2 linked regions of the Astyanax mexicanus genome follow. The protein of the gene in region 1 purifies or fractionates together with the protein of each later gene. This does not show direct contact. Links are inferred from orthologs where the notes say so. Each region holds a gene or a part of one and is shown in the gene's direction. Other genes may lie near its edges.

Evidence for each region. The genes of interacting proteins can lie anywhere in the genome.
Region 2: the proteins of vsx1 (region 1) and wdr20a purify together in Homo sapiens (affinity purification with mass spectrometry; 3 studies listed by BioGRID and IntAct, with this or other methods). This does not show direct contact. The link is inferred for Astyanax mexicanus from reciprocal best matches to the Homo sapiens genes VSX1 and WDR20.

The regions. Positions count from the first base shown.
Region 1 is NC_064421.1:31,041,935-31,045,691, forward strand, and holds the start of vsx1 (visual system homeobox 1), read left to right. Parts: upstream 1-796; 5' UTR 797-847; coding exon 848-1,184; intron 1,185-2,665; coding exon 2,666-2,744; intron 2,745-2,825; coding exon 2,826-2,949; intron 2,950-3,602; coding exon 3,603-3,757. UniProt on the Homo sapiens protein: Binds to the 37-bp core of the locus control region (LCR) of the red/green visual pigment gene cluster. May regulate the activity of the LCR and the cone opsin genes at earlier stages of development. Dispensable in early retinal development.
Region 2 is NC_064421.1:44,987,487-44,991,243, forward strand, and holds the start of wdr20a (WD repeat-containing protein 20), read left to right. Parts: upstream 1-1,245; 5' UTR 1,246-1,255; coding exon 1,256-1,519; intron 1,520-3,757. Other genes in the region: uncharacterized protein LOC103042329, read right to left, coding at 163-230, 369-411. UniProt on the Homo sapiens protein: Regulator of deubiquitinating complexes. Activates deubiquitinating activity of complexes containing USP12. Anchors at the base of the ubiquitin-contacting loop of USP12 and remotely modulates the catalytic center of the enzyme.

The DNA.
Region 1 (3,757 bases):
TCAACGAAATGGTGACTGCCCAGAAAAACACTCAACACATACGCAAAGATTTGTTTTAATATCACACATAATAACATGTTTATAATACGTGTATTTTTTACACTTGATTTAATTATATTTACACTTGTTTAATGCGCATCAGTATGTTCGGTACCGAATATGTTCTATTGTTTTTGTATGTTGAACTTAACTTATCATGTCTGTTTAATTCTGTTTAGCAAAACCTGACAGACTGGACGATCGATCAAAGTGCTGTGCCAAACACAGGTTTTTTCCATATTTTGTATTTTTTTTAAATAGATAATTTACTTGCTTAACATTTTAATATTTCAACGGTAATGGAGTGTTTTTTATTGCAGAAAAAAAACAATCAAAATTAGCGGTAACACGAATTTATATATATATGGGCCGATTTTAAAATAATTATTTACGTGCACAAATCTTTGTGGAATAACTTAATGTCTTAAAATATTTTTTGTGTTGTGCCATTTAAAAGGCTGTAATAAGATTATTATTATTATTATTATTATTATTATTATTATTATTATTATTATTATATTGTCGTTATTATTAACAATACATGAATTAAATCGTTTAAAAGTGCTGTTGAGATGGAATGTAATCATAAGAGAAAGAAAAGGGAGTCTGAGTTCAGACAGCAGGAAAATCTTTATCGGATTTAAAGCAGAAATTGGTGGCAATTAATCCGCGGGATTGAAAAATAAAAAAATAATCGCTGGTTGGTGATTGGTCGCCGGCTGTCCCGTGGGGGGTATATATTGAGCCCCCCTGGCACGAGCCGCCCTTCATACAGTCAGTAAAGCGCGCGTAAACAGACGGTTGGGATATGGAGAAGACACGCGCGCACGGGCCCGGTGGGCTGCGCGCTAAAGGTTTTGCTATCACGGACCTGTTGGGACTGGACCCGGACGGCGCGAGCGGCGGCGGGGCAGTGGCCGCGTGTCCGACGGCAGTGGGGAGCGCGTGCCCGGGCGGCGCGGTGGGCGCGTTCCCGTTTCCGCTCGGCCTGGGCTTTCTGTGCAGCCTTGCGGCGCAACAGCAGCACCACCACCAGCAGCAACAGCAGCAGCATCAGGGCGCGCGCAGCTTCATACCGGCTCACGTACCGCTGCTGCAGGCGCGAGCCGAGCCACCATACGTGGAGGCGCGAGACGAGTTCTCCGGTAAGAGCGCGAGGCTTTTATTTATTCGTTTGTTTGTTTTTTCTTAAATTTTGAATTTTAAAAAACAATGGAAAAAAAAAGTTTTACATTTTCTATTTTAAACAATACATGTATTTAATACAAATACATATTTAACTACATATTTAATGACACAGTAAGAATAAATAATACAATAAATGCTATTTTTATAATTATACTTACCAGTGTTAAATTAAATTAATGTATACTGATGTATACAGAATAAAACAGAAAAAAAGAACAAACGGAAAAAAAGCAACCAAAGAATAAAGAAGGAAATTTATAAAAAATAATAAGTAGAACAAGACACAAAAACGAAATAATAAATAATGAAAACGGAAAACTAAAAAAAACTACGAAAAAAGCAAATGACTAAAGAAAAGAAGGGAAAACTAAATAGAAACAAAAAAATCCCCCAAAACAAACCATTTAAAAACTGTAAAGAACGTGATAAAATAAACGTATAAAACGAATTCAGAAAGTAACAAGACAGAATATGGAAAGAGCAAATAAGGGGGAAATAGAGAGAAAAAGAAACGACCGGCAGAGAGGCTAAAAGAGAAAAGTGAGAATTTAAATCGACTTCAAATTAAATCATTACTTCCTTTATTAGAGTTTATTATTCATCATTTAGGCTTTTTATTATATTAATAAATCTGTCTTTTTATTGTGATGCGCAAATAGTGGAGCTGCTGCCCTTATAGTATATGCTTAAGAGATGCAGTACTACATTACTATTTTGCACGTTATATTATCGTTTAATGCTACTGTGTCGGATCATAATCGTATATCTGAAATATCACCAAATATCGAGCTGTACATATTCAGCGTTTTCTGTACTGCGGGCTTATTTTAGCACCTGGGCGCTGTTCACTTGTGTAGGTGCTGAAAAAAACAGTCCATAAAAAACAGTAATAGTGCTTAAAATAGTTTATGCAGATTAACCCTAACGAAAAAATATATTTATATTGAGGCTCTTTAATATTTCATTAAAGGTTAATTTTAGGTTTCTAAAACGCAGGTTTTTAAATGTTGTAGTAAGAGAACAATAAAAAAGGGGTATATAACACTTACTTCACTATTCAGCCCTATATACCATGGAATGCCTTACAGTCTTAAATTAAAACTTCCTTCATGATTCTTGTCTTAGATATGCAGTTCTACAAAGCACCTTTAAAAAAAGTTGTTATTGTGCTGAGGTTCTTTAAATAATTAGTTAAATGTTCTGTCCATTATTTTGTCCCTCTATGTTTTAACCAAGATTATGAAGGCTGTGACATGTTGGACATGATAAGATTAATTTAAACAACTGTTTTTGGGAAGTTCCTCTTTCAAAAATCATGTAAATTCAAATATTGGCTATATCATATGTGGGAGATTGAAATCTCTCAGTATATTAAGTATGTTTTGTAAAATTATATGTGTGTGTGTGTGTCTGACTAAACACTCTCCCTGATTTTCAGATGACGACTGTCTCTCGGGGGACCGCGCTGATGGGAAAAACTCTGCGAATTCACAGAAGAGGAAGAAACGGAGACATAGGTGAGTCTAGCTGAGAGCATTAGTGATTATTTTAGAGTAGTCACTGTGTGTGTGTGTGCTGATCTGTAACATTGATTTCAGGACTGTGTTCACGTCACACCAGCTGGAGGAGCTGGAGAAAGCCTTCAACGAAGCTCATTATCCAGATGTTTATGCACGGGAGATGCTGGCAATGAAGACAGAACTGCCTGAGGACAGAATACAGGTAGGCACATTCTCCTACCACACACACACACACACACACACACATCAACACACCAAACACACACACATTAAAGGTGCTTTGCGTTACTAACTGGTTCATATATTATCACAGCAGACCATGTGCACATTACGGTCCCTCAGTATCTACATAATGAGCACTCAGTGAGCACACTATGAGCACTCAATAAGTACACAATAAGCACTCAGTGATCATATTAGTACTGTTCAATTGACACATTATGAGAACTAAATGAGCACATTATGAACAAACTATGAGTATTCATTAAACTCACACTGAGCCTTCAGTGAGCACACAGTGAATACTACATGAGCACACTATGAGTACTCAGTGAACACATACTGAGCACTCAATGAGCTCACTATCAGACCTCAATGAGCGCACAATGAGTACTACATGAGCATACTATGAGGACACTATGCGTACTCAACGAGCACATTATGAAACCACCTTGTTTAACCAACAAATGCACTATGAGTTTTCATGAAGCACACTATGATCACACTATGAGAACTTTAACACACACACTATACGTACTAAAAAGAAGTAGCATTAGTAAGCACACAATGAGCACAATATGAGCACTACATAAATGTACTGCGTAAATTAAATACACTGCATTTTTTTTTTACCAGGTGTGGTTTCAGAACCGGCGGGCGAAGTGGAGGAAGCGGGAGAAGTGCTGGGGCCGCAGCAGCGTGATGGCCGAGTACGGTCTCTACGGCGCCATGGTCCGTCACTCCATCCCTCTCCCAGAATCCATCATCAACTCCGCCAAGAACGGCATGAT
Region 2 (3,757 bases), about 14 Mb from region 1:
GTATCTCAAAATAGTTACTTAACATGTCATGATTATGACTGTCGACTATTCTAATAGTATCTAATAATTATGGCTTACTATCTTAAAATAAGGACTTAATATCTCATAATTATGACTTATTTTCAGGTGGTAGAATTGGTTTCTATAAGAATGAAGTCCAACCATGTATTTGAATGCCAGTCTGTCCACAGTGACTGGGTCTCTCTGATCAGATCTTATGTCAGGAACACCTGTGAGTATAATCTGTATTAGTAAATGTATGAAGTCTTTAGAAGATCTCTACAACAACTTCTTTATATTTATCTTTTCTTTCTATAATAATTTAAATATTTTAAATACGTTTTCTGGCTCATGCTGAAGGCCTGTACCTGCTGCAGCATGTCCTCGGCGTCGTGGCTGTTTGCTCGGCATTGTGGTCCATGTGGGGCTGAGTGCAGCGGCTTCAGGTAAATTAAAGGTGGGTCTGAGGATCAGCGAGGTTAAACTAATGTCGCCTTCAGCGCCCTAGCTCATCCCCTGTTACTGCGCACCACGGGTACGACTAAATTAATATAAACACTCTGATAAAACACAAGAGAGTAACAGCAGTTTTACTGACACGCCCCCAGCACTGAAAGTTTATTTTCAAAAACAGGTAACTTAAAAATAATTATTTTTGTGAGGTTCTTATGCGCTTACAATATGTATATATATTGATTATAAATCATGAGGAAGATGGATTATCACAAGCCATCAAACCAAGCTGAACTGCTTGAATTTTTGCTCCAGGAGTGGCACAAAGTCATCCAAAAGCAGTGTGTAAGACTGGTGGAGGAGAACATGCCAAGATGCATTTTTTTTTTTGCATTATTTGAGGTTTGAAAGCTCTGCATCTTTTTTATTTTTTTTTGTATTTTGACCAGTTCCTTCTGCAAATAAATGCTCTAAATGACAATATTTTATATGGAATTTGGGAGAAATGTTGTCCATAGTTTACAGAATAAAATACCATTGTTTATTTTACTCAAACATATAATGTTACCTATAAATAGCAAAATCAGAGAAACTGATTTGTGCCACAGATAAATATTTATGTCACTTTCTTTACAATATTATTATTATGATGTTAGTATTTTTAGTATTTTATATTTTTTTAATGCTCTTTATAAGTGGCGTAAGGATTATAAAATTCCCTTAAAACCGACTGACCGCAGTAGCCTGTGTGTTCGGTACTGCGCATGTGCGGCGCGTAAGATCCGGGCTTGGGCCAGGATGAATGCAAATTTCAAAGATGGCGGCGGAGGGAGGAGGGAAGGAGATGAACGAGATCAAAACTCAGTTCACGACCAGAGAAGGCGCGTACAAACTCCTCACGCACTCCGAGTACAGCCGCCCCAACCGGGTGCCTTTCAATTCGCAGGGCTCCAACCCCGTCAAGGTCTCGTTTGTCAACGTAAACGACCAGTCCGGCAACGGCGACCGAATCTGCTTCAATGTGGGCCGGGAGCTGTATTTCTACATCTACAAAGGCGTCCGAAAGGTAAACAGCGCCGCAGCTCTCGCTCTTTTCTCCCTCACGCGCGCAGTTAAAGTGTCAGGTTGCAGTTCGCTGAAGGCGAAAGTTGATGGAAGTCCGGAGAAGTCTGGAGGTCGTTGTTTGGCTGCTTTCCCTCGGCGTTTTTACGTGGACTGCTTGCTAACGTTAGCTTGCCTTGGCTAATTTAGCTCTTGGAGCCAGCCGACCGACAAGCTGTCAGTTTGGGCCTAACGTCAGGTACACCTGTCATGGGCACCGCTGGACCAACACTCTCCGCTCCTTCTGTACCCTTACGAGTCTCCTCAAACCCCTGCCTGCTTTTAAAGCGAACTAGCCTTGCTAATTTAGGCGTAACTAATAATTACGCACTCGTCGTGTAGGGATTAACATTAGCAGCGCGATCATGTTGGCACAGAGCTATAGCAGGGTCGTCCACTGTGAGCTAGGCTAGCTAGCGTTAGTTTGGTTAGCTTGGCTTCAACTTGTTTCAGACGAATGAATCAGCTGCGATGGAGAGCTCAGAGCTCCAGATCGCCCATTTTTCTTCATAAACTCGTGAGAGCTGTGTGTCACGCTGGTGACTGCTTGTTTATCAGGCAGATAGTTAGTTAGTTAACTTGTGTATGAGTGTGTGTGTGCGTACTTAGAGACAGAGCAATAACGTTAGCTAGCTAACTATGTTTAAAAGTCCGGGATATGGTCCTTTTAATGTTGTTTTCCAGAGTAACCAGGTATGCCTAAGTGTGAAATGATAAGGCTCTGTGTTGTATAACTGTTGTTTTGATATTTTTGAAACAGGCTAATCTCGTTGGTCTCGTTGTTTCTGCATTTTTATGTGGATTATCTATAGTTTGAGTTTCAGGTGTTGTTGAGTGTGCTAGCTAGCGTTAGCTGCGTGAGCCAGCTACTCGTTACTGGTAGACGTTATCTAACTTAGCTAAGTAAGTAGTTCGTTTGAAAACAAACGGGGAGGACGGATAATGTTGCATCATATGTTTGCAATTTTTCAGGTTTCATCAGTAATTATCAGTTTAAATAAAAAATAAATAAAAAAAAAAGTTGCAAGTGTTTTTAACATGTTTTGGTTGGATACAGATACACTTATTTACAGTGGGGGGCCGGATACGGAAGTTGTTATACTATTAGTCCCTTTATAAAGATTTACAGTCAGATGTAATGCTATAGGAATTAGGGGTGGGCGATACGGCACTAAAATAATATCACGATATTTCATGGTATCATCACGATAACGATACTCTTGAATATATGACGAAATACTGAATTTAAAAAATGATTTCAAGAATACAGACTACTGCATCAAAATGAATATAAAATGTTCTTATTGCATATGATATGTAATGGCACACCCCTAACTGAGATATTGAAAAATACAAGAAGTTTATCAGATTTGTAACAGAAGTCAATGATCCAGAATGTCATGGCACTAATATTGCGCTCTACATATATCCAGTATTAAATAAAAAAAATGAATGATACTGGACAGATATAATCTGTCTCTAGTAGATATACAATGGGAAATGAGAACAGTGTTAATTTTTCTTTTGCTTCTGGTTAATACAGTGTTCTTGCTGAGAAGGACATTTCAAAAGGATTTAGACAGAGGAAAACAACAAGAGTTCCAGGCAGTGAACTAAAGTGTTTACTAGCTTATTTAGCTATTAATTGTGATGCAGAAACTGTTTGCAACATTATGCAATTACATGGCAAGCAGTGGTTTATATTTGTTTGTTATATCAACAGGGACCCCTAGTACCTGCTACATTTTGGGGTGTATTATCAGTCATTTGTGTATACCAGTCTTAGTTCAATTTGAGAATCACTGTTTCTGCATGATTGCCTTAGGAAGTTATAAATGAACATAAATTATGCTGTCCTGAGACAACGAAAGAAATGTATATTTTTTAGTAAGTAAATTAAATCAAATCTGAATAGCCATATCTACTTTTTACATTTACATGTTTTTTTTTTTATATATATGAAATGTAAAAAAAAGAAAAATATATATATATTTATGTTTCTATATGCAATATATAGAACTGTTAACCCCATTTATTCCCCAACTTGACATGTAAAGGAAAATGTCTGATGATAAAAAATAAAGGAGTGATCTATTAATCCAAAACATTTGTTTGTTGCCTCAGGGCAGCATCATGCCATAGAGGGTTAAGGACTGCGCTTGTGATTTGATTAGGCGTTTATAATCAGTTCATTTATACCAGA